4 linked regions of the Arabidopsis thaliana genome follow. The protein of the gene in region 3 interacts with the protein of the main gene of each other region in a pairwise test. Each region holds a gene or a part of one and is shown on either strand. Other genes may lie near its edges. The genes, in order: MP, ARF18, IAA6 and AT5G47790.

The links.
Region 1: the proteins of IAA6 (region 3) and MP interact in a two-hybrid assay, tested with the Arabidopsis thaliana proteins (3 studies listed by BioGRID, with this or other methods).
Region 2: the proteins of IAA6 (region 3) and ARF18 interact in binary tests that used the Arabidopsis thaliana proteins (3 or more experiments, as listed by UniProt).
Region 4: the proteins of IAA6 (region 3) and AT5G47790 interact in binary tests that used the Arabidopsis thaliana proteins (3 or more experiments, as listed by UniProt).

The regions. Positions count from the first base shown.
Region 1 is NC_003070.9:6,883,723-6,893,343, reverse strand, and holds MP (Transcriptional factor B3 family protein / auxin-responsive factor AUX/IAA-like protein), read right to left. Parts: upstream 6,676-9,621; 5' UTR 5,992-6,675; coding exon 5,859-5,991; intron 5,709-5,858; coding exon 5,593-5,708; intron 5,485-5,592; coding exon 5,386-5,484; intron 5,296-5,385; coding exon 5,239-5,295; intron 5,151-5,238; coding exon 4,995-5,150; intron 4,916-4,994; coding exon 4,831-4,915; intron 4,755-4,830; coding exon 4,664-4,754; intron 4,568-4,663; coding exon 4,403-4,567; intron 4,321-4,402; coding exon 4,198-4,320; intron 4,113-4,197; coding exon 3,901-4,112; intron 3,822-3,900; coding exon 2,668-3,821; intron 2,576-2,667; coding exon 2,385-2,575; intron 2,289-2,384; coding exon 2,162-2,288; 3' UTR 1,940-2,161; downstream 1-1,939. Other genes in the region: AT1G19860 (Zinc finger C-x8-C-x5-C-x3-H type family protein), read left to right, coding at 108-305, 604-728, 826-1,690. UniProt on the Arabidopsis thaliana protein: Auxin response factors (ARFs) are transcriptional factors that bind specifically to the DNA sequence 5'-TGTCTC-3' found in the auxin-responsive promoter elements (AuxREs). Seems to act as transcriptional activator.
Region 2 is NC_003074.8:22,884,979-22,893,287, reverse strand, and holds ARF18 (auxin response factor 18), read right to left. Parts: upstream 5,400-8,309; 5' UTR 5,118-5,399; coding exon 5,072-5,117; intron 5,021-5,071; exon of another isoform or gene 4,801-5,020; coding exon 4,685-4,800; intron 4,602-4,684; coding exon 4,503-4,601; intron 4,433-4,502; coding exon 4,376-4,432; intron 4,285-4,375; coding exon 4,132-4,284; intron 4,054-4,131; coding exon 3,969-4,053; intron 3,882-3,968; coding exon 3,791-3,881; intron 3,712-3,790; coding exon 3,547-3,711; intron 3,457-3,546; coding exon 3,343-3,456; intron 3,271-3,342; coding exon 3,198-3,270; intron 3,110-3,197; coding exon 2,630-3,109; intron 2,549-2,629; coding exon 2,361-2,548; intron 2,251-2,360; coding exon 2,109-2,250; 3' UTR 1,833-2,108; downstream 1-1,832. Other genes in the region: AT3G61840 (auxin response factor, putative (DUF688)), read right to left, coding at 215-742; AT3G61829 (uncharacterized protein), read left to right, coding at 5,966-6,097; AT3G61826 (uncharacterized protein), read left to right, coding at 6,565-6,657. UniProt on the Arabidopsis thaliana protein: Auxin response factors (ARFs) are transcriptional factors that bind specifically to the DNA sequence 5'-TGTCTC-3' found in the auxin-responsive promoter elements (AuxREs). Could act as transcriptional activator or repressor.
Region 3 is NC_003070.9:19,671,101-19,676,945, forward strand, and holds IAA6 (indole-3-acetic acid 6), read right to left. Parts: upstream 2,553-5,845; 5' UTR 2,460-2,552; coding exon 2,060-2,459; intron 1,868-2,059; coding exon 1,777-1,867; intron 1,649-1,776; coding exon 1,570-1,648; 3' UTR 1,376-1,569; downstream 1-1,375. Other genes in the region: CDT1 (cadmium tolerance 1), read right to left, coding at 425-564, 712-760. UniProt on the Arabidopsis thaliana protein: Aux/IAA proteins are short-lived transcriptional factors that function as repressors of early auxin response genes at low auxin concentrations.
Region 4 is NC_003076.8:19,348,906-19,355,866, reverse strand, and holds AT5G47790 (SMAD/FHA domain-containing protein), read right to left. Parts: upstream 4,576-6,961; 5' UTR 4,472-4,575; coding exon 4,116-4,471; intron 4,042-4,115; coding exon 3,288-4,041; 3' UTR 2,372-3,287; downstream 1-2,371. Other genes in the region: AT5G47800 (Phototropic-responsive NPH3 family protein), read right to left, coding at 1-145, 271-1,416, 1,498-1,567, 1,638-1,707, 1,939-2,266; GAUT4 (galacturonosyltransferase 4), read right to left, coding at 5,350-5,625, 5,716-6,291, 6,376-6,733, 6,812-6,961. UniProt on the Arabidopsis thaliana protein: Inhibitor of protein-phosphatase 1 (PP1). Binds to and inhibits PP1 activity.

The sequences.
Region 1 (9,621 bases), about 13 Mb from region 3:
CATATTTTGTGTGTAGTGATTCCTGACTCTTAACTAGCGTATTTGATCAAGATCTCTAAGGATTTTGTTTACATGTCAACTGATAATGTGTTTCTCATGTTGAACAGGTACGGCTATTCATATCAGAGGATTCACCTTCACAAGTTGGATCAGAGTCTCAAGATCACCTGCAAGCAAAGTCACCATTGGCTTCACATCCAAGTGATGATAATCTGCCACCTGGTTTTGGTGGACCCTTTTCTGCGAATGAGTCCCAGATTAAGTTATCAGATATCCCACTAATAAAGTGGAAATGCTCCGTCCAGGTGAGTTCTCGGGTCGCACTCCTTAAGCCTTTTTAGTTAGAATCATCAACTTTTTAAAGTACTAATTACAATTCCCCCAAAATGCCAAGATATTTACAGTTATAGTTTACATATATACATATGTTTTCCTCTAGTCCTTTAAGTTGGATAAGGGTATGGGTCACATTTGGTAAATATGGTGGTAAGGTGCTCTTGGTTGGGTTACCCATGTAGGATTGTATTTCCTGTTAATCTAGTTGAGGATGTTCAACCCTTACGATAGTGGCACTAATACTGTAGATAACATGTGCTTTTGCAGATTCTGCTAGATCGGGAATGGAAAGTGGTTGCAGGGGACGAAAGCAAAGAAGTGGAGGCCCAAAATGAGAGGGAATTGAGAGTTCTTGAAGCATTTTATCCTGGCGCATCATCTATTCCTCCAAAGTCCGTATCTAACCCCTACATATTCTTCCAACACACATTTGCATACCCTTTTACTTTTTTTTTTGACTTGGGCCTTTTCTTAAACTCCAATCTGCAGCCCTTCGGTTCCAGCTGATGTTGAGGACTCACATCATGATGATCAGCAAACCATTGTCATACCCATCCTACCTGTAGAAGATGATGACATAGCGATGGATTCAGCATCTGATTTCCCAACCCAATCTGGCGTGGATGTGGGAACAGAGCCATCAATAACCGATGAGAACACATCAACTTCTTCAACCCTCCCTGCAGGGCCAGATATAATGGCTGCGTTATCTGCAATCTCAAACAGCAAAGAACAAGGCAGTATGATCGACCAAGATCTGCTTATTAAAATCCTAAGCAACCCTAAGTTGGTCGAGAATCTTGTTGCAAATCGTGGCAGTGCAGGTTCAGTCTCCTCCAACACAAGTAGCCTCTACTCATCTTCAACACATGAAGCCAACGGAGTAGTAACCACGGCACCTATTTCCTCAAATGGACAATTTTACGCTCAGCCACCCATAACTCATATTCCTCCCATGGCGTATACTCCTCACGCTCCTCAAGACCAACCGAACTATGGAGCACCGCCAGCAAGAGATGCTAGTTATTACAAGAACCTGATTCAGCAACATGGCGGGGATAGACAAGAGACGCCGCCAGTTCAACATCTCGGTTATCGATACAACCTCCAACCTGGAGGAGGACCTAACCCGGAGATGGTAAATAGCAGTAATAATAACCAGAGGCCAAGGGATTCAAAACCCAAGATAATGAAGGCTTGCATGTACTTCAACAGCGCAAGGGGTTGTCGCCATGGAGCTAATTGTATGTACCAGCACGATGCTACACCCTACCAGCCGAGGAATCTAAACAATGGTAATATCAACACTTCTGATATGCAGAATGCAAAAAGAATGAGATTTGACAGAGACTGATGCAGAATTAGCATACCACACATGCTCTCTGCCTCTTGCTGTTAGCAGCAGAGCAATTTTTCTATTTTCTCTTGCCTGGCTTTACTGCAATATAAGTTTTATATACATTTGAAATTATTTCTTGGTTTTATGCCACAAATGTAGAATTAATTAGCGAGTATTATTTGGCTCACCATCACAGTAGTACTTATACTATCCCTAGTGTTTTTAAGATGATTTTCTACACTTTTATCTTTAACATTGTGCAGAAAAAAGAGTAAAATAATCACAAGATTTCTAAGACTGTCTCAACTACTGATTCATTCATCACTCTACTACATAATATGAATATAGTTTCAGGTCTCAAATCGGAACAACACATCAAATGCTTACAACAAGATGGTTTCTCCTCTACCAGTTGGAGAAAAGAACATTTCTTACTCTCTTTTTTTTCTTACAAATCAGCATGAGATCATTTTTATATTGTTACATTTATGAAACAGAAGTCTTAAGATCGTTAATGCCTGCGCTGTTCAAAAGCTTCATCCCTTCTTCACTCATCTGCTGGACCTCAGTTGGCGACAATATCCTTATGCACCTTACGCATCCCACAAACTCTCTGCACCAGTTTATGTAGTTATGTAAGGAAAACTATTGTAAGACTGATAGTCAGATGAAGTTAATGGATTCACAGAACAGTGAGAGAGAGACTTACTCCCATGGATCATCTCCTACAAGCAGAACATCACTCTCATAATCAACATATACAAGCTTCCAACCCGAGCTTTGTGGGTGAGTTAGTAGTCCTTCCAATCCAAACATGCATTCGATAGCAGATTTTAGCTCCTCGTAGTCTTTAAAGCTTGTGACATCAATTGATCTCCCGACTGACCCGGTTTTTTGAACCTGCCAAGTCAAAACATTACCCAAACCCCAAAGTTTCATGTCAGATTGTGACACAAGAAATTTGTGGAATGAATGAGAGATAATCTTTTTACCTTAGTGTAGGTTCGGACGCGGGGTGTCGCAATTTTCTGCCATGATGAGCCTTTACTATTTTGCCGCAGACTACAATCATCAAAATCAACATTGCTTGAAGATGTACCAGTGCCTCCAGAATTATCTGGAAAATCTTGGCGAGAGAAGGCCTGTGAGTCTGCAAAGCTAGCTGATGTGATCTGCGACTGGACATCTTGAGCAAAGCTAGTGTTGTTGTTTCCAACCAAACAACCAGAAGGGTGGTTCTGGAAATCAGTGTCTTTGATGGCACAGAAGTCATCAAGGACTGTGTTTGAGAGTGGAGGATCTAGAATGTTACTGGTTGTGCTATTACTCATACAGATATTCTGACTAGCATAAAGGTCCTGCTGCATCAAGGGACTGAACTGGTCAAACTTGAGACCGTTCAACTGAGTGTCCCACACATCATGAAACAGCGGTGAGTTTGTGGAATCCGGTAACACAACAGCTGAAGAATCCTGGGAGGATAGAATGAATGGTTGCTTGTATGATCCGGCAAGAGACTGGAAGGAAGAGACTTGTGATGTCAGCTCATCAGTTTCCAGGAAAGAGAATCCATTTATTGGATCAGACTGTGGTTGGTAAATCTGATGAGTAATGTCAAGACATTGATCAGCTTGTACAGGCGACGAAGCACCCGGTTTCTGAAGTAGCTGATTAACCTTTTCCTCATTACACACTGTGGATGTAGTAACCTGGCTTGCCTGTTCCATTGACTGCTCAAGTCCATGTTGGACTCTACCAGAGCTGCAACCAGAGAGTGTAGAGTTCTCAGGTTTAGCAGGAGCACTCATACTCTGTGAAAGATTCTGTTCTTGGCCACTCGTATTAGAAGCAGATGGGTTCACTGTTAGCTTGTTTTGTGGCTGCACCATCTCAGATTTCTGGTTCATCATCAGGGGTTGCTGCATCTTCATATCTCCTAGCAAACCTCCATTCCCCATTACAATATTCTGCTGCATCTCAGACATGAAAGATGGTACATTTTGGTTGTTGTGAGGCCTCATCATCATTTTCATAAGCTGCTCCGAAGCCATACTAGGGAAAGATGCATATGGCATAATCCCATTCGCGGAATCAGGAACACGTATAAGTGGCCGTTTTATCAAGCTACCCCATTCAGTTTCACCAGCTGCATATTTCATAACAAAACTTTAAGGCAGCAAATCTCATGTAAAGTTCACAACAAGGCACACTTATATTTTACTCACCAAAGTAAGATGGATGGAGCTGACGTTTGAGTCCTGAGGTCAGAGAAGGAAAAATGAAGAGACTTTCAGGTGTTTCGATATCCCATGGACTGACCCGAGTAGGTTTATCATTACATCCAGGCTCATCCCATTCTACCTGAAGGTTACGCCACTTAGAACCAGGCCATCTCAACGGATCCAAATCGCTGATTCCAACAATAGTTCCCATGTACCTAAATACACAACCAAAACGTGTATAAGTGAACAACCAAATTTGATAAACAAAAACAGAAAGATTGCAGTTTACGGATAACTTACCTTCGTTTCCCGGAATCTTCAGTTTCAAACATCATTCCAAATCTCATACCAACTGAGAGCTGAGACCCGCATATCGCCTTACGGTACTTAGCTAGAGGGATCACGAACTCTGCTGGACAAGCTCTGAGAACAAACACCATAAGTTACGTTACAACTAAGAAAATAGTTTTATATCATTGAGGATTGAAGAAGCTTTTGAGCTAACCTTGGATTATAGAATATCAAAAAAGGAGTACGGTTGGCGGTTGCGTGAGCAGCAGCAGCAAGAACACCGATGTGCATACTATCCGCTGAGAGAACTGATGAAGGAAGTGCTGTTTGTTGGCGATTGGCACGCCTAACACCGACCATAAGTTGTGACTTCTCATCCCTTTTGGCACATTTTCAAAGGACAAATGACAGTCAGAAGATAAGCAACACCAAAATGAGTCAGAGCCAAAATATCTCAATAGCCAAGGTTTTTCACCTGATGAACAAAACAGAATCCCCAGCTCTCAATCTCTTCGATCCAACGAACAAACTCCATCCTGTAGTTAGGAGATGTCTCTTTGGTTGCCCTGAGAATGTAAGCAGGAACTGAGCTCAATACCAACTCAATCTAAACAGAGAAAGAGACAAATCTAGTGGTTATACCTCGGTAGATATGGCGAAATGTCCAAGTATTCTCATGAAGATCTCGAACTACAAGCTCTTGCGTTGGCGGCTGTGCTGAGTAGTCCTGCAATGTATTTAACATAACATTAGCAGGCTAGCAGCAGTTAAAGCAATAGGAACATATGAGGAAAAGAGAAGCTCACCAATGGTGGAAATAGCTTCTCTGCAGCTCTACGTGGCACTGAGAAACCTCCATGTGTGCTTGTGTCACTTGCAGTAAGTGTTTTGCAGAAAAACTCAGTCGGGTGCTTACTTCCTCTCAGCATTCCAAAGTCTGGTACAGGGAACACATCTCTCTCCTGATGCACACAAACCATTCAAACTCATTCAACTTCAACATGAGTTCTTAAATGAAACAAAAGGAAGTTGCAAGAATCCAAAACTTACAGAGTGAACAGGTTGAAGACTCATCTGAGCATAGATTTCGTCACTGTCTTTGTCAGCCTATCAAAGGGGAACAAAACCATTGTCAAGAAATATCAAACTTGGTTGCAATTTGTTTGGATACGAAGCAAATGAGAAAGATTGGCGTACATGAAGAGTAACATTATGGACTTGACACATCAACTGAGATGGAAGGTTCGGATAATTAGGAACTTGTGTTGTTGCTGATCTTCTGGTTGAAACAGCAACCTAATAAGTCAAAAAGTGAACAAAAAAAATCAAACCTTTTGAACAGGAGCTAACAAGATCTAGAGAAGTACAATGTGTTTGTTTGTTCTTTAAGACACACAAAGTTACCTGCTCGCTATGACCTTGTGAGAAGTAATACACTAAGCTCCCAACTTGAGGGAGACACACCAAAGGGCCTGCACAAGCGTGCCATAGCTCCGAGTTTATTACCGGCTTTCTTGTACCTGAAAAATGTTCAAAATCGCATTTTTAGGGGAAAGTAACAAAATTTCTAAATGTCATTAGCATAAATTATGAAACCTTTTGTTATCACAGTTTATTCTTAAAAAGGTAACTTTTTTAATAAAAATCTTGAGAAAGAAGAAGATGAAAACCTGACTGGTCTTTCAACAGCTTCATCTCTTCAAGCAAGGTAGATTGAGATGTTGTTGTTGTTATAGTTCCTCCACCATTAACCAAACAACTTGTTTTCATCTTGTCTTCAACACAAGACAATGAAGCCATCATACAGAGAGATTTTTCAATGTTCTGTTTTGTCTCTCCCACACTCAACACTAACTAGGCTTTAGCAAGACTCAAGAGTTTTTCTTTTTCTTTACTAAGTCTTCATTTTATTTTATTTAATACAAGAAGAGACAAAAAGAGCTCTATTGAGCAAAGAGGCTACAAGAAGATAAATCCAGGACAAACCAGAGGAATTAAAGACAAAGCCATTTCATGGAATCTGTTTTTTTTTGGTTAAAGAAGACTCCAAAATCGAAGGACAAAACCCTTACACATGACAAAAACAGAGTGGGAGAGATTAAAGAACATACAAAATAGGGACTACACAGACAAGCATGTCTCTCTTGTGGGGCTCTTGCCTCTTCTCTTTCTCTCTCTCCACTCTTCTTTTCTCAGACCAAATTCGACCCTTCAATGAAGAAGAGAAACCAAAGGTGCCATCATGAAACCACACAGTTTCTTTCTTTGGTTCCGGATGCAAACAAGAACAAGAAGCAATTGAGAGAGAGACAAAAGCTTTTAAGAAAAAAAAAACTTTTGCTTTCTTTTAATTATTTCTCTGAAAAATCCCACATTTTTTCTTCTTCTCTCTCTAATGTATATGAGTATTAGTATAAATGTGTATGTATAGGTTTTATTTTGCTTGGAAATGGGAAAGAGTGTGCATGCTCTTATCCTGCGCTTAAAACTTTCTGTATATGGCGATGCCGTTGCAGCTTTAGACTCTTTAAACGAATAATATTATATTTTATTGTTTCCCATTAATTATAAAATAAAGTTTTGGTATTTCAATAGATACATCTATATTATTATTTAATGTTTTAGAACAGTTTACGTCAAAAATTTAATAAAGTAGAGTAAGCACACGTAATCTCTGATACGCACAGAAACGTAGTTGAATGTACAAGTACTTTCAATGCTTATGTTATAAGGCAGATAATAAAGCTTAAAATAAGTACCATGAGTGAATATTATTTTAAAAAGTGTCCTACTTTTTCAAGAACTTTGTAAAATATAAAATGTTTTTTGATTATGGCAATAAATTAAAATTGATTAAGAACTTTATGACAAAGGAGGAGGCTTCTTTTTTCGTTGCAATAATATATACTTTTCTCAAAATGTTAATCTTTTCTTGCTGAGATTTCGTAAAAGGGATGTGAGTGGTGAGACTTTGGGAGATCTCTAATACAAGGTGCGTATGATAGGAGAGAATGTCAAAATAGCGTATATTAGCACGAAGCCTAAAGAGGTTACGGGAGGAAGTGTATCTTCCAATCTTTTTTGCCCGGGTGTTCTTTTCCTTTCCAAGTTAAGGACTTCAAAAATGTTTTCTTTCTTTGGTTAGAAAAAGTTATTTTGATATTTGCAAGATTTGGTATAGAGATTAAAAAAGATTTAAGTATGGTTTAGTTAAAACTTAAAAGTTATAAGGTGGTATTGTTTATATATACTTAAGAGTTAAGACCACCTCCAAATAAATTGAAAGGACTGTTGTTTGTGGTTCTTGCATTTGTATTGAAATTGAGCTTTGTAAAATATATTTGTATCTACAACAACCAAAAGAAAGGAATATCTTGGTTCTCTGCACCTGTAAACATAGCTTGTTCTGCTCATTATTAATATCTAATACTCTAAACCACATGTGTAATTATGTCTAATTGTGTATAGTGTGTACCATTACATCTTTAGACCTTTTTAGTTACATACATTTTTTTTTTTTACGCACACATCTCTAGTTTGACCTTTCCATTGTTTTCTTGCGACGAAATAATTGACATGCGGTCATTGTATTATATTGTATGATATGAAACCATATCACTTTCCATATCATTACTTATCAATCATACGTAAATAAAAATCGCTTTCCTTCATGTAATATTACTCATAAACAAAATACAAATGAGCATAGTTAAGTTATATATAGGATTAGTACACAATCCACATTATCACATATTAGAGAAAAATAATCAAACATATTATAATTTATAAGTGGATATATAGTAGCATCATTATGATAGAATATCTATATAAACATAACTACTTATTCGGATACGCGTTTGTCACTAAGATATATTTGAATCAAAGGATCTCCAATCAAGTATATAATGTGTGGAATTTGCTGTTGGCAGCACATTTTAATATACAGTTCAAATTTAGCAAGGAGTGAAACATGCTTTTGATGATAATGGAAAAACTCTCATTTCCGGTGCCAAGATTGTGTGCCATCAGCAAAATCTTTGGAACAAATAGTCATTACGTATAACGAGGAATAACATCCCACGATGAGGTTTACTAGATATAATTTTATCATTCTTATCAATTGTTTTCTCTTGTATCGTTTTTTTTTTTCTCTACTGTATATCATTTGTGACAATGCCTTCAATAATCCTAAATTCATAAAAATAAAAACTCTTACCATACCAAATTTTAACCACATGCAAAGAAAAGGATACCAATCAAAATCAAGTGTATGCAGATTATCAATCCGAATCCTTCCTAAACGTTAGTTTGTCTTATGTAGATTGGAAACTTGTAAAAAAACAAGAATAAGAAATGAAGAAAGAAAAAAAGAAAGTGAAAAGCATTATTTGGTGCTTTTGCGTCTGAAAATTTTGACCGCTAGGCACGCGTGAAGTGGACGGCAAATCAATGGTTGAGTAAGAGAGGAAGAGGAGGCGTACATTAGCATACTCGACACGTGTATTTTAATGTTATTTTGAAAATGATTTTTGGACCGACACGGCGCCGTTTCTGCGCTTCACAGTTCACATCCTTACCTACCTCTCTCTCCTGCCAAACTAACAAAGCAAAGACCGATTCCTATTAATCCCATAAGAAAACAGTTTCATTATAATTTTACTTACTGCCACTAGATTTACTTTCTTAAATCATCACAAAAAGTATACTTCCATATTGGTGTAACATAATATAGTACAAATCTTATAAATCGTAGTAATTGAAAAAAAAACATAAAATAGTGGTGGCTTTTAACAGTGACAGTGGACCAAGTAATGTAAAATGGAGATATAACATGTAGAATAATTGGAAAGAATAAAAATGTAGTGGAACAATAAGTGATTAGCAACCTAAAAATGTATAATACGTAGTGAAATTTTAACTAACTTTTGGCTAACCAAAAACATTTATGTTGGTTTAAAATTTTACGTTAAGTTGATGAAGATACTTTGAAGAAACTTTTTGAAGGTAATTGGTGTCGTACACATGGGCAAGTGCAACCTAATTTTTGGTTAGAATAATGAAAGTAATAATACTGATTAACCCGGGTAAGTGTCGATTACCGTTCAAGATGATCTGTGCAATAGTAATACTTAGCACGTAATAGTATGTTATAGAACAGTGAACGAGATATTGTAATTTACAAGTGAAATAGAAACGATTGACCATATGGGATACGAAGATCACGAATCCGTAATAATAATACGAAAATCAGGTAACGCTTGGAGAAATAAGTACACGTCACATTCCAAATTTATGAAAATTCTATTTGATTCTTTCGCCAAGTAACCCACTCCAACTATAATATCATGCCATCTTCGTGATTATCATATTCTTAACCGTTCAAATTCTTTTCTTTATTTTCTCATTCCATTTTTTAAAAAATCACTTATATGT
Region 2 (8,309 bases), on a different chromosome or scaffold from region 3:
TAAGAAAAGCCCATAATTGAGTAAGTATGGTCCATACAAGTAAACGACGGCGTATTGTTTTGTATTATTTTTTTAAAAAGCTCTCACAGAAGCTTTCATTTTCAGCTTCTTGTTCTTCCATGGAACTTCGTGCAAAACAAAAGAAGATACAAACATGTTCTTTCTGACAAGACAAGAGAATTTTTTTTTTAAAGAAATAGAATGAAGTTTAAGGTTAATTTACCCAGAAGTAACACCTAGTGACGTAAGAGAAACAATGGAGACCTTTTGTTCTTGTGGTCTTGGTATCATCTTCATCTTCCGATGGATAAATATAACTTCCACTTCCGGCCACATAAGCATCACCATCTCTCTCTTTCTTCCACCGGAACCACCGTTTCCACCCGGCGAGATAACGACCATGATTCGCTGTCCGAGGCATTTTGGTAAATTCGTCAGGAAAGAGCATCCTCGGTGGCAAATCAAGACACTTGGAGTAAGAAGGATGACGAACATGGTGTTTAGGCTTGCCAGGTTCTTCTTCCCATGAGAAAGGAATCGAAGCGCGAGAGAGTGAATCATCAGGGGACGACATGAGTGACAATGACACGTCTTTAGTCGTTACCGGTGATGATAAGTATTGTAGCCTTCTCGATTTCGCGGCTAATACATGTTGAAGTTTCGATGTGATGATTATCATCGTCTCATTATCGTCTGCGTCAAAACTTGTATCTTTCTTGTTCTTTTTTTGGGTTTTAACCATATCTCTTTCTTGTTTCTGCTTATTATGATTCGTTTGAAGAAGAAGACAATGGATTAAATATATGTAATTGTCATTGAAGATGCAACGCTGTTTAACTATAACCATTCCTCGAACTGAAAGTCAAACCCGTACTCTTTGGTTGAGGAAAATTAGTCAGATTTAATTCGACTACAACTAAAACTACGATCGTGTTTAATTTTGTTTTCTGTCACCTATTAATTTCTTAGTATATGTATGAAAATTTAAGTTTTGTTTGATTTTATATTAATGGAGTACGATATTTGTAGCTCATACTTTGAGTATGATGGTCCTATGGATGTTCGTTTTGTATGATTTGTTCGGACTGAAACTTTATATCATTTATAAAGGTAGAAATGTTTTTACAAATCTTTTATCCAAACAGAAAAATGTTTTTTTTTTTTTTCTATACTACAGCTCCAAAATCTATTCAGTTTAGTTAGCTTGAGGCTTTTTTGGTTTTTGTCAAAGTAAAACAATTTCTCCATACCAAAAACAATTAATCTTTAGCAAAAAAAAAACAGTTGCTCCATACTACATAAGTACATAACCACCACCAAACCAATACTAAGTTTGAAAATAATTGTATTGTTTTCTTCTTCATTATAAGGCAAATCTGAATTAAAAGTTTAAAACAATATTTTTTTTTTTGACAAATATCAACTACAGTATACACTTCATATGTGACTTTATCCGAAAACAAAATAGATTTTCTTTCTTTTGTCATTTGCATTTTATTAAAGAAAAATCTGATGCAGCTAAAAGGTTTGGAAATTAAAACTTAAGAATTTTTATAGAGAACATCATGGAGACTTATTTTTGGCACGATAACATGAACTTCCAAAGTTTAGTTTTCATTTTTTTCGATTTCAGTTCAATTTTCTAATAACACTATATCCTAGAAGTTCATTAATCCACAAATATTTTTACCAACTCCAAAAGAGAATCTTAACTAGTCGTTTGACTCCTTTACTTTTCCATGACTTTCATATGATGCCCGCCGCGTTGATTTCCACGCCTTCACGTATTTTGTATTCTTCTCTAATACTGTAGTTTTTTTTTTTTTAAGCCTTAATTATTGATTAGAAATATAATCTTTGAACCCATAACTAATTGAATGTACTTGGTTTTGAAAATTGAATGGTTATGGAACAAGTACATACACATAAAAGATGTAAAACCGCCCCATCAACCACTGTCCCAAAACCGAAATATTAAATCGCCAACTTGAAAAATTGACATGAAAAAGAGGACAAGACTTTATATACACAGACTAAAAAAAAAGTCTTTAGACACTTACGCACTAAAACGACGTCGCCGAATTAACCTTAATTAACAGCTAAAACTCTCACCCCCTACTACGATTTTCGAATGATTCATTACCATATTCCTCATTCTCTAACGACGAAGAAATCTTCAGTTTCGTTGTCATTTTCTTAACCTCATCGCTCGAATATATAAATATCTTCTTTGCCATCTTGCAAAACTCACTGCACAATCCCACACAACAGAACATTGCAAAATCAGTTCCGGTTTAAGTTCACATTTAACTGATTTGAGCTAAACCGGAAATGTTTAACTCTGTTATTTTAGAACTTACTTCCACGGATCATCACCAGCAAGCATCATATCTCCTTCATCATCAGTGAAGACAACGATCCATTTGTCTCGGGCAAGAAGCTGTCCTTGAATCTCAAACATCTCCTCAAGCTCATCAATCAGTTCATCGTAAGATTTCAACAGTGTTAAATCAACCGCACGACCAACCGCAATGCCTTGCATTTGCACCTTTTTCAATCCAAGATCAAAGAAATCAGATTTTCAAAACATTGTTGCTATGTTATTATATGAGTTGATAAAGAAAATTACTTTAGTTCGACTTCTTGATGTTTGTTGCTTCTTCTGCTCACTCATTGAGGTTGGAGTGATGGGTTCTTGACACTTGGCAGCTCCACAAGTATCCATCGGTTGCTTGTCTTGAGGGATTGGAGCAGGAGAATTGCTTGTGAGATCAAATCCAAACAACCTATAGCTACAATTCGTTGGAGGAGGAGGAGTCTCGGGTTTGAAGCTGTTGTTTGAGGAGTATCCACCTGAAATTCTCTCAAGTGATGGATCTTGAAACAGTTTAAGGGATGCATTAATGGAATCTTGGCTCTGAGGGAGGCTGTACAAGAAACTAGGTGGGGCTGGTGTTTTAACTGATGGCTCGATGGGTCTTGACCGCTTGCATTTCGATTGTGGTTGTTGAGCAGGAGTTGAAATTGGGGAAGTTGCCAAGAAAGGCTCTATCTCCCATGGTGAGACTTTATCTGGTCTCTGAACTGTTGTTGGCTCATCCCATTGTACCTAAGAAAGACCAAGACAAAAACGTTATATAAAGACCACGTAATAAGTAAAACACTAAAATGTAAGAACGTGGAATGGTTAACTGAACCTGCAATGACCTCCATTTAGAAGCTGGCCATTGTGAAGATAGATCTCCACTTCCCACAATCGTACCAGTAAATCTGAAGACGTTCCAGGTTTCAGAATCAAGAACACTGACAAAAAAGAAATGATCAGAGAAAATGGATTCTTACATTCTCTCAGGAGACTCTTCTCCTTCAAACCTCATTCTGAATCGGGTACCGAGAGAAAATCCATGCTTTATAGCTTCCATATACTTGTTCACCCCAACTATGAATTGGCTTATCCTGCAAAGAGAGAAAACTTTTCTTCAATCAAAGAGTCCTAAACCATCTATGTATATAAAGCAAAATCATCTAAAGAACATTACTATATACCTAGGCTTGTAAAAGACAACAAAGATTGTTGTTGTACGCACAGCATGAGAAGCTGTAGCAAGAACTCCCAAATGCATGCTCTGACTTGAAATAACCGAAGTAGGCATTGTGCTTTGATGCCGAGCTAATCGTCTCACTCCAACCCGTAAATCCCCATTCTCACCCCTGAAAAACACAAAGGCATTACATTTAGGTTCATGAAACTAAACAAGACCAGTGAATAAAGTTTCAATTTCAAAAGTACCTCAAGAACACAAAAGCATCTCCAGCTACAAGTCTTTTCGAGGATACAAATGTACTCCAACCCGTAGTAAGCAAATGCCTCCGTGGTTGTCCTAAACCAAAAACGGCACTCAATGAGTCAATGTCTCATTTAGTCCAAACACAGTTTCACAAAAACACACCAAGATTAGAATCAATACCTCTGAATATATGCTTAAACCTCCATTCAAAGCCATGAAGATCTCTAGTCACAAGTTCTTGAGTAGGAGTAGCTTGTGTCATATCCTAAAAAGTGTAAAATTGGAGTGAGAATTCAAGCTAAAGTTTCTTGAATTGAGAAGGTTTCTTTAAGAATATATTTACCAAAGAAGGCAAGCATTCAGTGGCGTGTTTACGAAGAACAGAGAATCCACCATGAGTGCTTGTATCTGAAGCCGTTAAAATCTTAACAAACGAATGAAACTCTTGCTTAGTTGGTCCAACAATAGGTGGATCAAGACTTGTTGGTTCACTTTGCTGCAAACAAAACAGTAAATTGAAATCAATTCCAATCAATATAAATTAACACTCACTGAAATAAAGTTGAGTTTTTTTTTTAAGAACTTACATCTTCCTCTGGTTGTAATGTGATCTGAGCGTAAACCTCATCTGTTTCATGCTCCGCCTATAAATCAAAATTTAGTTAACAGATTCAGGGGAAATAAAACATTTTAACATTTATGATCCAACTTTACCTTTAAAGTGACATCAAGAACTCGACAAAGTATCTTTGGAGGAAGATCAAAAACAGGTATTTCTTCTGAATTGATTCCTTGATTAGTTGACGCCACAAGCTGCAAAAAAACCCAGAATTTAGAAAGAGAATGGAAAAAGAAAAATTGGGGTAAAAAGAGATGATTTTTGGGTGGGTATATACTTGTTCCATGTGACCCTGAGGGAAGTAGAAAACTCTCTCTTGAGCACGAGGAACTTCCACTAATGGACCTGCACAAACTTTCCATAGCTCTGTGTATAGTTGATCTTGATAAGACCCTAAAATCAAACAACAACAAAACCCTAACAGTCACATTTCCGCGGCAAAACTATAACAAAAATGTGAACTTTGAAGCTATACGAGAAAAATAAGAAAGTTGGGGTTTTTTCTATTTCTTTCTAAGCTCGTCTCCCGAGAAAATGAAAGAAAAAAAAATCGAAACTTTACAAAGCTGATTTTGATTCTACAGAGTAAAACCCCAAACAGAGTCACTGTTAGAAACAAAAAAAAAAACAAAACTTTCTAAAGTCTCAGCCTTTTACTACTCACTTGACGAAGAACTTCCGAAATCATCATCACCTTCAACACTCGCCATTGAAGAACCCAGATGAGAACTGGAGAAGAAGAAGTAGAAGGAGAGGAAATGAAAGAAAATAGAAAGAAAAAAAAACCTTCACGCGGTAAACACTAGTCTTAACCCCATGAAAGAAACACGAGAGAGAGAAGAAAGAAAAGACCCATCAATGGAGAAAATAAAAAAAGCAAAACTTTATAAACAGGACACAACGGACGGTTATGTCCGTATTGATTGCAGAACGTAATTCAGGCACTGTTGGATAAAACTAAATCTCTCCCCTTTTTTTTTCCGTCAGCCACGAAACCGATCTCTCTCTCTCTTCCTCTTAAAATCTTTTTTTTTTTTTGTCTTCTCCTTTCCTTTCAGATTCCGTGTTGTTTTGCTTCAACAATCACAAACTTCTCGCCGTTTTTATCCCGATCCGCAGCAAACCAAAGCTGCTTCCTTTACTGAAGAAGTCTCACAGTATCATGCACATACATATATTCACACTCTCTCCTTCTTTATCTCTCTCTATATATCAAAATATAGAGAGACTTTCTCTTAGTTCAGATCCTGGAGACCTGTCATTTCCACCCACAGTAACTTCAGTTGAATCTCCCTATTTTTCTATTCATTTAATTAAATGTTTTCTAAAATTGTTGTTTTTTGTTTTATCATGTCATCGCTAAAAAGGAAACTCAAATATATTAAATGCGCTAAAATAAAACAAATTGTATTCAAAGGCAAACGAAGGGTCACGCGGCGTTTTGGGAATTGCTTATGAACTAATTACATTTTATTATGTAAAAAAAAAACGTACGGTGCATTTAAAGGAGAGGGCAAATCTCAGCCGTCCGATCAAGACGATAGTAATAAATAAGCTTATGACTTTACTCTATATCCCTAAATTGCCCTTTTTACTGATGACCCCGTTGCCGTTAGCACTTGACGGTGCCGTTACCCACATCGTCTTGTGTCTGGATCGTGGCAGGCAAACGTGTCGGCTTCTCTATTAAACCCCGGCCACATTTTCTTTTTTCCGTTATTTTTTTTTTTTGTGTAACATCAGATAGATTGTTTTTTCCGTTACAGATTTAATTTTTATTTAACACTGTGGAATGTGAGTTAATTACACATTATGCCATTGATCGTTTTTTTTATTTAGGACCCACAAAGGCTATGGCTACACCCACACTCGCACAAGGTCACAGCCATGACTCTTTATGGGACGAGCGTCTTGGGAAGCGTGTGAGTTTTATGTTACCACGTGCCGAGTCAGTTCTGAGTCGCTGGTGTTCATGCTGTATTCTTTTTTTTCTTTCACGCGCTTTTAATCTTAGCAAATCAAAAATCGAAATTATTTGAAAAATTCATGTTTACGGATTTCATATAATTATCGTTAATTGCTTTTATAGAAGGAACTTTTGAAACGTCAAATTTAAAAAATTAAATCGGATAGAGGTGGGAGACACGCGCTTAGTAAATGAGAATGGTGAAGAAGAGTGATAAAAAGTTGAGAAAGCCATGCCGAAGTGTCGGAGGAGAAAGTGGTCCCCACATGGACACGTCAGAGTAAGAGAAATTGCCACGCTGTTTAGTCGTATTCATGACCGACACGTGTCAAATGCTGACTTGTCCTACCAATTTTGCTCATTTACAGAGGAAATTCTATCGCTATTTTTCTTATTTTATTTTATTTTTCCCAATGATAGTGAAGAAAGACTATGATCCAAAAATATTATTGCGTTTTGATTTGTGTACACCCTTGTATTTAATAAAATTTGCAACACGAATCAATGTTGGCTTGTAACCACCCGATGAGACTAATGCTATCACTCGATACTATTTGGGTTTCAAAATCTTTTTTATAGCTTAAGATTTACCTAGAAAACGTCGACGATATTACATAGCCTTACCACTCTTTTTTACTTACAAGTTTGTATAATCATAAGTTCATAGTATTTTTATGTTACCATATACGAGTATTTATTTCCACTCAAAGTTATAGTGTAGACTGTAGAGTTCTCTCGCTAATTACATAAGGCCTACAAATGTGTGTTGTTGATAGTGAAACACTATTACAACATTCAAGCTTCGTTGATGAAGATTATGTGGCCGCGTTACAAGACGAAATATAGATGTGATGTATTATTGATTGGAATCATATATAGTCTCACTTCTCTAACTAGCTGATAGAGGGGTAAAAAAAACTTTTTTGAATCCCACCCAACAAAAAAATAATTAAAATAGTGCATATGATTATTGTACGGACAAATCCTTGCAAAGCGGAGACGAGATATGAAAGAATCGAATTTCATCACCAAAGGTTGAACTAAAGAGTGAAACATAATTTTAGAAAAGGTAATAGGATGATATTACCATAAATATAACGGAATTAAAATAAATTTAACAATGATTCTTATCCTGCATGAGATTTCATGCTTGCATATCTCTCACAATAATATACACCTAAAGATGATGCCAAATTTGAACGTCATTTTAGTTGCGTTCGTTTTTCTTGGGTGAAAATTTGAATATCTTTTTTTAATTCAATGACTAATTTAACGAGCTGCTGCGGATATTCTCTCTAGTTGAAATTATTTATACACACAAAAGGTTCAAATAGTAAAATAAATAAATAGGATTACGAATATGATCATTCAAAGTGAATATGAACGCATGGATGGGAATAAATAACTATACATTAGTTAAGTATTTTTATTTTTAAATTGCGTAGTGGTTTAGTGGAATCCATTCCACAAAATCTTTTAATTTTGTTTATTCTTCTTAATCACTGTTATATTCCATTGATATATTTGATAATATACTTAATCACCTGTTTAGTCATAGTCACCACGTCATTTTACAAGAATATAGGAATATTTGTATTACTTATATTTATATATTGAACTAATCGACAGTATTCATTTGTTATGAATTGTAAAAAGAGAAGGAAAAGTTGTGGAAAAATACCAACATGGTCCTATCTTCTACTATAAGGTTATGGTTATCAACAGTACACTACTTATCATTGCAGAAAGATTAAGAAGTACTAATCAAACCAATATGTTTAGATTGTTTTAAGAACCAAATTTCTTGCTTAGGTTGATAACCCAGTCAAGCAAATAACATTTGATTCCAACTGTCGTATTTACCTTCAACCTCTTGCAATAATTGAACTTTCAAACTTTCCACAAACCAAACTTATTTTGTACAATTTTACTATTT
Region 3 (5,845 bases):
AAACCGAACCAAAAATAAACCAAAGGTAATTTGAATTTATTTATAAAATCCGATTAATTGAAAAATAATCGAAACCAATTCTAATGTATTTTAAGAAGAAGAAAAAAAAAAAACTTGTGTATTTAAAGTTTTAAACCAATATTTGATTTTGGCGGTAATTTTGGTTTCTAGTTTTATCAGTCAGTTTATAAAACAATAAAACCATTTGTGATTTTGTTCGGTTTGGTATTGTTTGGAATCGGTTCAAAATTTAGGTGAACATAACTTGAAAGCGAATTATACAGAAAATTTGACTGGTTGGCCCGGTTTCGCCCGGTTTGATAAGTGAAAATTTGTTCATTAATATATACAGTACTCAAATCTTATCAACTTTTAGAGTTCTTGAGCCATTACATATACATTTTATTCGCAAGACTAAGTAGATCTAAAAGAGCAATTGTGATGCGAGGGACACAATTAATGAGAGTAATGTTGAGATGATGATACATATATAGAAATCAAACGCAGCAGCAACAACACTTGCACTTCTCGTAGCAGCAACAGCAACAGAACAACGCGTAAAACCTACAACAGGTTAAAAGATTATCAAATAATCAAGAACTCCGAATTCGATAAATAAAAAAAGAAAAGAGAAGAGATACTAAATGATACAAAAGGGTCTACGATACAGATACTAAATGAAAAGAGAAGAGATTATATTTTGGTACGGACGTTGCGAATAAGCAGCCTTGTTCGTCTTGCCGTTTCTTGACATTGTCATAGTAAGTCATTTCTTGTTGTGGCGGTGCCTTCATTCTTTTGCGTGAGTGTCTTGATAACTTTAGGGGTTGGGATTAATTGGATGTAGTATATATATAGACTTCAAATCTGCTACCTGCAAACTGATATGATCATTTAATACGGAAGATATGGCAACATTTATTTGGACCGACAAAGTGGTTAGAATCTTCACCCAAAACTACATTTGATATGATATAGGAATAAGCCAGCTTTAATTTGGCTCTTGGTGAAAGAAAAAAACAAATATTTAACATTTTTCATTCTTTCTTAAATTAGTTGGGAAGATTCATTAGGTTTTCACTATTTTTAGCTCCGTTTAAGATTCATAGGTTTCCACTATCTTTGGATCGGCGATAAAAAGATGATTTAGCCGGAGGATTTATAAAGTTATAATAATCACGTACCACTTGATTTTTAAGAGAAAATAATAGTAAGTCTAGAAAACTACTAAAGCAAACTATTGTGAGGCATTACTTTGTTGTTATGGTTTTTTTGTAGTTGATTACCCTCGTTTCCTTTTGTACTTTTGTGAACAATTTCAAGTGTTATATTTCATATGAATCATTCAGACGAAAAAAAAAAGTATTGTGAGGCTAAGAAACACCTTTAATGAGCCATAAAACATTAAAGTATGATACGACCAGTAAGGAAATACATTTGAAGAAAACGTATATATCATCATTATCATATAAATTTTACAATTTGAAAAATGATTATAATGAAAAAAAATTACTCAACGGTTTTCAAACTTTATGGTTAATTAAAGATGATCAACACTAGCTAGTATGATTAATCTTGCTGGAGACCAAAACCAGTTGCATCTGATCTCTTCACGATCCTCAGCCTCTTGCATGATTCTTTAAACATCCTGCCGACAAAAAAAATTTACAATTTAAAAAATAAAATTACAAATTTTTGACTTGTAAGAGGTTAATTATATTCATTTTGGTAAATTTGATAATTGAGCATTGTAATGCAAGCTAAACATAAACTTACTGCCAAGGTACATCTCCGACGAGCATCCAGTCTCTATCCTTGTCTTCGTATATAATAATGTATTCACACTTCTTACCCTCCTTCGCCACTCCTGCATAGTTTATATATACATGTGTTATATTTCATAAAGTTCCAACTAATATATGTGTTTTACTCTCTTCACACTTCCAATATATATAGAAACCCTAACAATACGTATATATAAAGTTTATAGCTCAATTATAAACATGGTCATGTAACTATTAACTAACGTTACGGGAAATTAGTCCATGCCATTACTAACCTATGCCAAGACAGCCGAAGAGATTCTCAAGAACCGTGACTAGATTAATATAACTGTTGCTCGAACCAAGGTCAATCTTCCTCATGTATGGCACACCATCCATGCTCACTTTCACGTAGCCTATAGCTTTCGATGCTTCCTCATTGTTCTTCTTTCTCCTGTAAGAACACACAGGTGGCCATCCCACCGCTTGACTCTTCACAACCGGCAGTGATTCATCTTCAACTGATGAAACGACGCTGTTTTCATTCTCAGTATCTAACGCTGATGAGGTCATCATATCCGAGAGCACCCTCTTCTTCTTCTTACTCGATCCGCATACTGATATTTCGCTATAATTATCTCCTGGAAGACCCAATCGAAGCTCTGTGATCTCGAGTGCTAGACCTTCCTTTGCCATTTATTTCTTCTCTTTTTTCTTTTTGTTTAAATTTGGCTATATGAAGTTTTGATACTTTTTTTTTCTCTCAAGCACTTCTCTTGTTGGAATGATAGTATTGAGCTGCCTCGTGCTTTTATATGTTGTCAAGTTGCTCCAACAAGATCCAATAATATACTGACACATGGAAGAGACTAACATTCATAATTATTTCTGTTAGCTTTGTGGAGGAAGACAAGGTTAGACCAAAGACAGGTCAACTGAGGATGTGTTGGTCGGTCACATGAGAGACATATGTTGGGTCCTTGTTCTTCATTTTTGTTTATATAGGATTTGTTTTAAGAGAACAAATCTTACCGGTGTTAATATTTGTTAGGTTTCTTATAAGATTTATCATTGGCCATCTTTCCTAAACATTACATGTGTTATCCTTAATAATATACAATTATGTATTCTAAGGATACTGTATTAGTATTATTTCTTAGCCTATTCTTGCTCACATTTTTATTTGGTAGTTGAATACAAATTGTACATACAGGTACATCAAGAATCACATAATGTAGATTTGAGAATCAATGAAGAAAAAAACCCTCACATCAAGGATTGGAATTAGAATTAAGGAAGTTGAGTGGGAAATAACATGTAATCAATAGGACACGTCTATCATCGGACTATCACTAATGTTTTTTTTTTTCTTCTTTAATTTACTTTATTTGTGGCTATTATTTTTCCTATTTTAAATATCTTAATGCTTAATATTTGTTCACATTTCTAAAAAATAACGGCTGGATTTTGTGATAGAATGAATAGATGCATTTAGCTTTAAATTCGTTACTTAGTGACCTAAGTTAGTTACAAAATATAACACAAATAATCTGAATAGGTAAGAGTAATCTGGTTCTTTAGTCTACTACTCTACTCTATAAACAATCTTTTGCATCGATCATATTCAAATCTGGATTTTGCAATATAATATACAGCTAGATATTTGAGGGAAGAAAATGAAAAAACGTGTACGTGAGTTGGTTCTTGAATGAAGAAGAACAAGAAGTTGGTCCATGTGACATAATATGAACCATAACAATTAGGCAGACGCGTTAATTTCACTTCATATCAAACAACATTGGTCGTCCCAAGTGTTAAGTGTCTTTCACCAATGTTTCCATGCATTTATGATTTATGTCCCATTAATTCTTCTATATAGTGTATTAATATTTAATCTCGGATACTTTAGTAATACGTATCTGCCAAAAATCATTTGGTATACTTTTCCACGTGATTCATAGAGAAGAACGACCAAATAAAAATAAGATGTCAAGTATGTTCCTACATCGCGTAGCTAAATGATGAAACCGCATGAACTTTGATTTGAATATTTATTTTTGGGTCATATACTAATTCTGATCAAATAAATAACACGCAACTTGGAATAAATTTATGTATATAAATGTAATCAGAACCAACAGAATATATATCTAGTTCGAAATCATGAAGGCAACTATAAAATTCAGTATTTACAAGTGTGATGATAATGAAAGTGTAATTGTATGAATCTCCGTGAATGGAGAGTTATGTATTGAACATATATATAGGGTTACATGAGATAAGCATAAATCTGTTCCTAAGATATTAGATATATACAAATATAAGATTCTCATATATATAATCTAACAGAAAGACAGAGATCATAAGAAGAAGAAAAAAGAATGATTCAGTTTGATATTTTTATATATTTCATATTTTAGAGAAGAAAAAAAATGTGTTTTAAACTAGATAATGTTTTCAACTTTCAATGTAAATTTTTTTAATTGTTTTCACGATTTAAGTTCTGTAGGTTGTTTTATTATTTGTTGAATCGTATTTAGGTACATAATAAATGATTTTTAGTTTAAAAAATAAATAAAAATAAATGATTAATTAATTTGTGTGCAAAACATTTAAACATCTAGTATCAAAGACGGAAGAAGTATTTAAGTTGGAGTTGATAAACCTTATAAACTTCCAAATACCACTACAAGAAAACAAGCGATTTGCGAGGACAATTTGCGATGGAAACAATCCCTCGCAAATTGCTACAGATTTGCGAGACATTTGCGAGGGAGAGAAGACACGTCGCTTTTCCGTCGCAAATTTTGCGAGGGATAATTCCCTCGCAATATTGCGTGAAATTTGCGAGGAACTTGCGAGGACGAAAAAATTCCTCGCAAAGTCATTGCAAATTGCGAGGGACTTGCAAGTACAAATATTGTTCTGTGGGAATTTTTGCGACGAAACTTACAAAGATCGTGATTTCGCTGGATGGTTAAAATTATATGTAAGTAATATTTGGAAATTTTGATATCTTAATGACTTATGTTGAAATGATAAACTTAATTAAAATCTACTTTATGTAGGTTACTAACGGATGTGAAAATGAACTTTTACTACTTTGGTTGTATGAGATCGTTCAAGAACCAAGATCTAAGATCACAACCGCAAAATCATTCGTGGTCGATGTCAATGCAAACAAGACTTATGCAAAGTTCAAACCATTTATCCTAGCATCACAAGCTTTCTATCTTACCCGCGTGTGAGGCCTAGGCGTGAAGTGTGGTTATCGGTTATTAAAGTTAATTCCAGAGGCCGTATAGTCGGCCTAGTTGATGATGTTGTGATGTAACAAGAAAGTCTCAGAGAAGTTTCCATACCAGACATAACAACAGAAGATGTTATCCACATTGACCTACAAAATAGACAATTAGAAGACATCACAGACGGTTCCGAAGAAGAAAAACAATAAGACGAATTCAGCAAATCTGCTGAAAGCGTTGAGTAAAAAAATGATAGTAATGATTCAGAAAATGAATAAGAATAAATGTTACTATATTGTTTACTTTTGATGTTTTTACTAAATATAATAAATAAATGAATAAATAATTCAGAAAATGATTTATATATACTTTCAATTTTATAATTTTAAAGATTTTTTGTAATTTCAAAACTTATAAATTCTTAATAAATTTCTCATTTTAAATATCTGAAATTTTTGGATATTTTTATTAATTTTTGTTTTTTGAATACTTTGCGAGGAGTTGCTATTGACCTCGCAAATCCCTAGCAATTTGCGAGGGATTTGCGATGAAAGACGCAAATCCCTCGCAAATAAGTTGAAAACCCTAATAAGTCGTTTCCTCGCAAGTCCGTAGCAAAATTTGCGAGGGAATTGCGAGGCTTTTTAAATATATATATACACTGCAACCGTGTTTGAGCTGCGCTCAAACCTAGCCGCACACACCGAAACCCTAAAATTTTCTTCTTCTCTGTTCTTCTTCTCTGTTCTTCTTCTCCGGATCTTCTTCTCCGTTCTTCTTCTCCTTTGTTCTTCTCCATTCTTCTTCTCCGTCGTGCCACATCCTCTACGAGGAGAT
Region 4 (6,961 bases), on a different chromosome or scaffold from region 3:
GGTCGAAGAAGAGTGCTTGGACGACCGTTCTTAATGGCATCCTCTCATTTTTCACAGCGTGTGCACGTACTTGTGCAGACAATTTCTGGCAGTCAAGACTTCTGCATAGTCGTTTTTTCTCTTCTTTGCTTATCTCGGGATGCACCTGCCATGTTACAAATGTTTTATCAGTTTCAAGTACTGTATGCAAAATGTATGATTTCTGAAAGTAGGTTGGTGAGACTCTCAACCATAGCTAGTTGCCCTTGAGCAGGCCAGAGCATCTGATACCTTGAGAAATATGTTGATCGCTTTGTAAAGTCTGTCATGGCTCTGGCGTGCAATGTCGGGCACTGCCTCAGAAAGAGACACAAATTTGGAAACTGGCATATGGACATCTTGTGCGACTGCCTGAAGATAGGAGTCAATAAGCTTTGCCACCTTCCTGATTGAATGCAGCAATTGAGTGTTGTTACTAGAAAGATGCGCAGAAGACTGTCTTCTCCAGAGCATTAAAAAACTCTCAAGAACTGTAGCAACCAAGTCGGTATCGTAGCGATGGAGATGAGAGGATGAGTGTGAAGGCAACAAGAGGTCTTCAAGAGTTGCCTCCTCGAGTTGCAGACTAGATTTTCTAATCAACTCAGTCTTTGTTGTGAGAGATGCTCTCACATAACTCGCTATGCTAACAAGTCTCAGCAGAAAACCCTCAGAAACCGACCCTTTATCTGCAGGAATCATATTCACAACTGTGTTAACAAGACGCCGATGCCTTTCCAGTGCTGCTTCGTTTTCTTTAACTGAGAAACCTGAATGGCTGTTTGATTTGAAGTATGGTAACCAACGGCAAGTGTAGACATGCAAAGCTTCACCAATGAGCTGAGGTGGCAACGTGAAGGTTGACCTGGCTGCTGTGATGACACAGCGGAATAAGTCCAAGTCGAGGTCTGATATGTCTTCCGTCCACCAGTCTCTTGGAACAGAGTGATGCTGTCTCTTCGCGTAGCCTGGTCTGGTGTATGTATGAGACCAGGAGACCTCTGAAGTTGGAGTGAGGATCTTCTCCACAATTGAATCTATACACTTTCTGACGATTCCAAGATTTTCACACCATTCTGGCAATTTGGTAGTGGACTGCAAAGTGACAATGGAGTCCTTCCAGCCTTGGAGAATGCAGGAGTGGAAAAAAGCTTCAAGCTTTGGTAACAGATTTCCCTTGTCAACGGAATCAGACATCCGAAGAAACTTGGAGGCACAGAGAGCATTCACAAGGTTATGAGCACTGAGGTTGATTGTGATATCATAGCAGAACTTAGCACACAACTCAAAAGCATCGGCTCCACCAGGTATGTCATTCAGCTCTATGGTAACAGTATCAGACTCCTCTAAATCAGTGCAAAGCCTTCGCAACAGCCCACATTTTGGAACAAGACAAGACTGCAGACAAAGATGGAAACCACTATTAACATACATATATGTGTGTGCTGCTATGATAAGAGAGTCAATCGAGATATATACCCTGTGGAGATGATAAGTGGTGTTGTTGATTCTAATAACAAGATCGTTAGGTGTGTCTGTTATCAAAATCCTGCAGTGTAAAAATTTTGTCAGAGAAATGGAATTTGGGAAATTTAGAGGCAAAGAGATCAAGGAACAACCTTGAAGCCTCTTGAGTGTAGAAAGTGTCAGGCTTTGTTCCGATTTTCATGAACTTCATCCTAGACTTCTCTGCGTTCAAGAGGAATATATATATACATATGATGAGAAAGTGATCAAATCTTTAGGTAAAAGTGGGAAAGACACAGGAAGATAATTACATATTGATGAAGCTGAAATTTTATTATATGTATTCCTAAATGATACAAACTCACATGTAGTCTGTTTATGATACAATTCTGAAAACCAAAAGAGAGAGAAAAAAAAACGAAAAAGATAAAGCAAAAGGATGATTGATTTTACCATGAAAACTGGTGTGCTCAAAGGTTGATATGAGGGAGGAAGAAGAAGAAGAAGAAGAAGGAGAAGAGAGAGAGATGTGAAAGTGGTAATGATCAAATTGACATAAAGTGTTAGTGAAATTAAATCCCAAGAGAGAGAGAGAGTTGAATGGCAACAAGGGTCCCGGCCTCGTCACTTGTTGCTCCCCGCATGGACTCAAGTCTCCAAATGGTGTCTGATATGTATTTCCTTCATACTTGTTTGGTTTGAAAATCAAAGCCAGAAAAGTTGGCTCACTAACATATTTGTCATAGGTGCCAAGGTAGTGTTTAAGAGAGTTACGCAGCATAGCTAGTAGCTATAAGTTGGAGTCAGTAACTCCTCTATGGTCTCGTTGGGAGATAAGGTGAAAATTAAGAGAAGAGAAAAGATGAATGGAGGTAGATTGTGTGGTATTAAAGGGTTGAGGTCGTAAAGTATATCATGAAAGTATCCACAACCAAAATAAATAAAAAGCCAGACACAAGTGTCCTTCATGCATTCCATCTTTTGCATAAGGAAAACAACTTCTCACCAAACAGAAAGAAAGTGAGAAACAAAAGTGGGTCTTCCACCTTTCCCTACTATAATTTATTACAAGCGAGTTTACTCTTATGATAAATACAATGGACCACACTAGGAAGAGTAGGAGTTGGATATAGGCTTAACTCAAAAGAGAGTTTTAATTTGGTTGCAGCACATTCAGCTTCTCTCTTCTTTATACTAACTGTCACAAAGCAAATCCCAAAGCAAAGATGCATTGATCCCCAAATCATATCTTAAAGCATCAGAGGCAGATTACCATTTTTACAAGTGTTTTACTTGTTGTCCATTTCCCCCCATGGAATCTCTGTTTTTGTGGGGGAGAGGGAAGTCAACCCACATCATTAGTGTGCTGTTTTAATAATGCAAAAAGGCAAAAGTGAAAAAGAATGAGAGGAGAGGTATTTGAGTACAAATGTCCTCTTCTGATGGAATTGGTCTGCCTTGAGGAGAGAATCTGTAAGTCAGTAGTGGTCTAATCAAATGCACTCCATTTGCATTGGCCCTACTCTCTACTCTCCACACTATTTGTAATGACTATCTATGTAATGCATCTCCTGTTAAGACCCACAACTAGAATGACCACTGACCAGGCTCAAGCTCATATCAAATTTCAGGGTTCTTACTTATAACACAAGACAATGGGCCTGGGCTTAGAGCTGCTCTCTTTTCTTGCTGCAGCCATTGGATAGACAAAGAGGAAACAACATACCAATGCCTTTGGAATGGAATGTAGGCATTAGAGAAGAAGAAGAGTTACTTAAAGGAATCTCAGTGTTCAAAATCAGTTAGTCACCAAACAGATCGTCGTTATCATCTTCTTCACCAACCCCTCCACATTCAGTTTCAGCTGCTGGTTGACTCACAGAAGCCCATGACGTACCAACAGCCTTGGCAAGTGAGTCACCACCGTAAAGGTCATCGTAAATCCCTGTTTTTGGACCCCGTTTCAACATATTCATAGCTTCCTGGAGTCGATCTGTTACACCTCCTCTTGTTCCTCCTGTAAAGGCTTTCTCTTCCTTCACTTTGCCTTTGGGTATGAGTGTCACTCGCACCAGTGATTCATATTTCCCAACGAGGCTTCCTTCTTTGACATTTATAGGACCAGGCTCTGTTTCCACGTCTGCTCCATCAGACATGCCAACAATCTCAGCCAGCTCTCCTCCTAGTTGATCCCTGAAGCTCACTCTCACTTTCTTCATCCTCTTAGCCACTCCCGCTTCTGATCCGGTCTTCTCTTTCCTTTTCCCTAACATACCACCAGATTCTCCATTGCTTAAACCATATCGATTCAGCAAGGTATTGTAAGCAACAACAGCTTCCTCATCAGAAGCATCAGGAGGTGGAGGAAGCTTAATCTCAGCTGGAGGTGGAGGGCGAGAAAAGAGAGCCTCACTGTTCTTTCTCAGAAGGTAGATTCTTGTGGAGGCAGCAAATCGTAAGGATTGACCCACTTCAAGCTCTACAGGAGTATCTTTAGTCAACCTCTCATTTGCAACAAACGTACCATGAGCTGATCCCAAGTCAATCACAAAGATGCTACAAAAAATAAAAAAGACTCATGTCAACAGTGGCCAAAGCTGTGATGAGAGAATTGAGTAGCGATGACAAACCTGCCATTCTTGTGAGGAACAACTGCGGCATGCTGGCGGGAAACAGACTGATGATCAAGGACAAAATCACAAGTCTGATGTTGTCTCCCGAAGATATGCCTTCGTCTATCTAGATGAATCCGATCAAGGATCTGGCCGTCTTTCACAACTTCCAGAGAGTAGACACCGGCACGAGGCTCAATCGCCCAATCAGGGGGATGCCAGTTTGATTGACCAGCTCCAATCTGAGTTTTTTGCCCCGACAATGCCTCCGGAGACAGATGTTGTTGTACCACCGGAGGAGGATTTGCTGATACAGAGAAGGGTTCCGAAGTTTGGGACTTCTTAAACCTGTCAAGACCAGATCTTCCATACATTCTCGAATCTAAATCTAAAAAGCAGCAATCTTTCTTTCTTTACCAGTCGACGTATTCACATGATCCCCTTCAAGTAACCAGACTCAGTCTAGGGTTTCTCCTTTCTTCAATTCTGTCCAAAGATCGAACATCTACTGAGAACATAAATTTGCAGCTTCAGTCCCTATACTTTATGTATTCTTCTAAACGTACCCCTATGTTTTTTTTTATGGATCAGTGAATTTCATATCCTAACAAATCAACTAGGTCAAGATAGTAAGGCTTTTCACGGAAATGCTTTGAGAATCCTGTGGATGTGATTACGAAGTAGAATCCCATCGTTGATGGCAACCATACCAACCTGTAACATTGTGTTAGAGTACTACTCAAGTGGACTGCAGCGTGAGAAAATTATGAAAAACTTACCTGTGGAACTCTGAACCAGCAAGGTTGAACACGGCGGGTGACAGAGTTAAACTGAATATACAATAAACTACACAAGTCAAAACGTATTGTCAGAGTCATTCGAAATCACATTCACGTAATTCCGATTCGAATCTCTTTTCGTCTTCACTGGGCTAATATTCATGCTACTCTGGTTCGATAATCGGCTTGACTATTTATGTTGTATTGCTCTTTGGCAAATTTGATTAAAGTCTAAAGTCTCCTATAGACCTATGTCAATTGTCACTTGCTTTACATAAACAGCGACAAAAAGGAATACGAAAAGTAGTTGTTTCATTGTTTCGTTGTCATTCCTCTTGTTGATATATATGTTGCAATAATAACATCGGTCGTGCCTATTGGAACTCCTTTTACCGTGACATATACAATTTCATGTAATGATCATCTCGTCAGATTATAAACGTATAATATTGCCCTCACAACAGACTCTAATTCTAAGGATTGATGTTGCATTCTCTGAGATAAACGTGCTCATAGTCTACATGCTTTGACCAGAAGCCTCTGTATCTTGGAATCCCAATCTCTAGCCATGGTTTGAGGTTGCCATTATAGTGTATCACGGCTGCCCTCTCAATATCCCTTTGGTTCACACTCGGGTTGTATCCAAGCCCTAGTATGTGCCATTTCCGGTCTAGCGGATATGTTCGTCTCCAAAATGTGATTAGACCAGGCGGCAACGTCCCTAGCTTCCACAATTCTCGGTCTTGATTCTGCAGTTTAAAATCGTTCGTGTATATGATTAGCAAACATTCTTGAAATCAAAACAGATGCGACCTAGCATATATATATTTTCTGCATACCAGATCCTGCCATCGATGATAAACTTCTGTGATGTTTTGCCTCTTCCATTCATCCAGATCAAAGACATTCATACCATACGCCCAACCACAAGCTCGAGGGTCAAAGTTCTTGGAAATGAGTGGATTTGAGAAGTTCAGATAACGGTCAAAGCGATGAAAGCTTTCCCCACACGTCTCTACAGCACCGTTAACATTACCTTTCAGATCAACTGACCAAAGACCAGAAAGGTCCTTCTGCACAACTATATCATCATCCAAGAAGAGCACTTTGCTGAGCTTGGGAAAGATCTCAGGCAAGTAAAAACGAAGATGATTAAGGATCGATAAGTATTTTGGATTCCGGAACTTCAAGTTGGTGTCTGAATTTGTATGGTGGGCTCTGAAGTAATAATCTATCATCGATCTAGAACTAAGCTGTTTGAGAACGGGACTGTAGCTTGAATTCAGCCATGTAAATTCTTCAACATTCTGAACCTGGATGGTGGCTTTGCCAGGTGGATTGTCCAGGAACCACATCCTCATTGCCGCATAATTGAGTCTGTCTGTGACGATGTGGAAGACATGCTTTAAGGGATGCTGCCAATAAACCATTAAGACCGTAAGTTTAACAGAAAGAAACACAGTTACATGTTCAAACAAAAGAAGAAAGTTAATTCTTACCTTTGCATTGGTTATGGTAGAGTTAACAACAACTGACGTAGCCAAAACATTATCAGAGAAAAGGGCATAGTGATACAGCTGAGTATCTTCTAGTTTCTCCTGATTTGGAAATTGTTGTTCAGATGAATTTAAAGCATAATAGTCTGTAGTGAGGCGCAGAGGAAGGCAGTGAAGTCCTTTAGGAATGGTCTTAGCAGTCAATTGAGTCAAAAACATGGTTTGCTTCTTATGGACCCGTAGCTGCTCATCTGCGGAGTGGAGCATAGCACGTAGCTTCTTGACCACTGTAGAACAGTCATCTTGGATCTGCTTGCCTTTGGCCAGTGTTTGCTCCATTGCTTTTAGCTTTTCTATAGCACTGGGGTTCAAAAAAATGGCAGAGAAATATCAGTTAAAGAGGAAGAAACATATATTTCAAGAGGTGAGAAACACTTACGTCTTTGGCAGATCCGAATCCTTGGAGGCATCTGCAAGTGCCCGTTGAACTTCTTTAATACGGAGTCGAAGCTCTCTCACAAAATGAGCATTGGCCTTTGCAGATGGAAGGGAAAGATAAACCTTTGCCCTAATAAGCTGATCTTTAAGA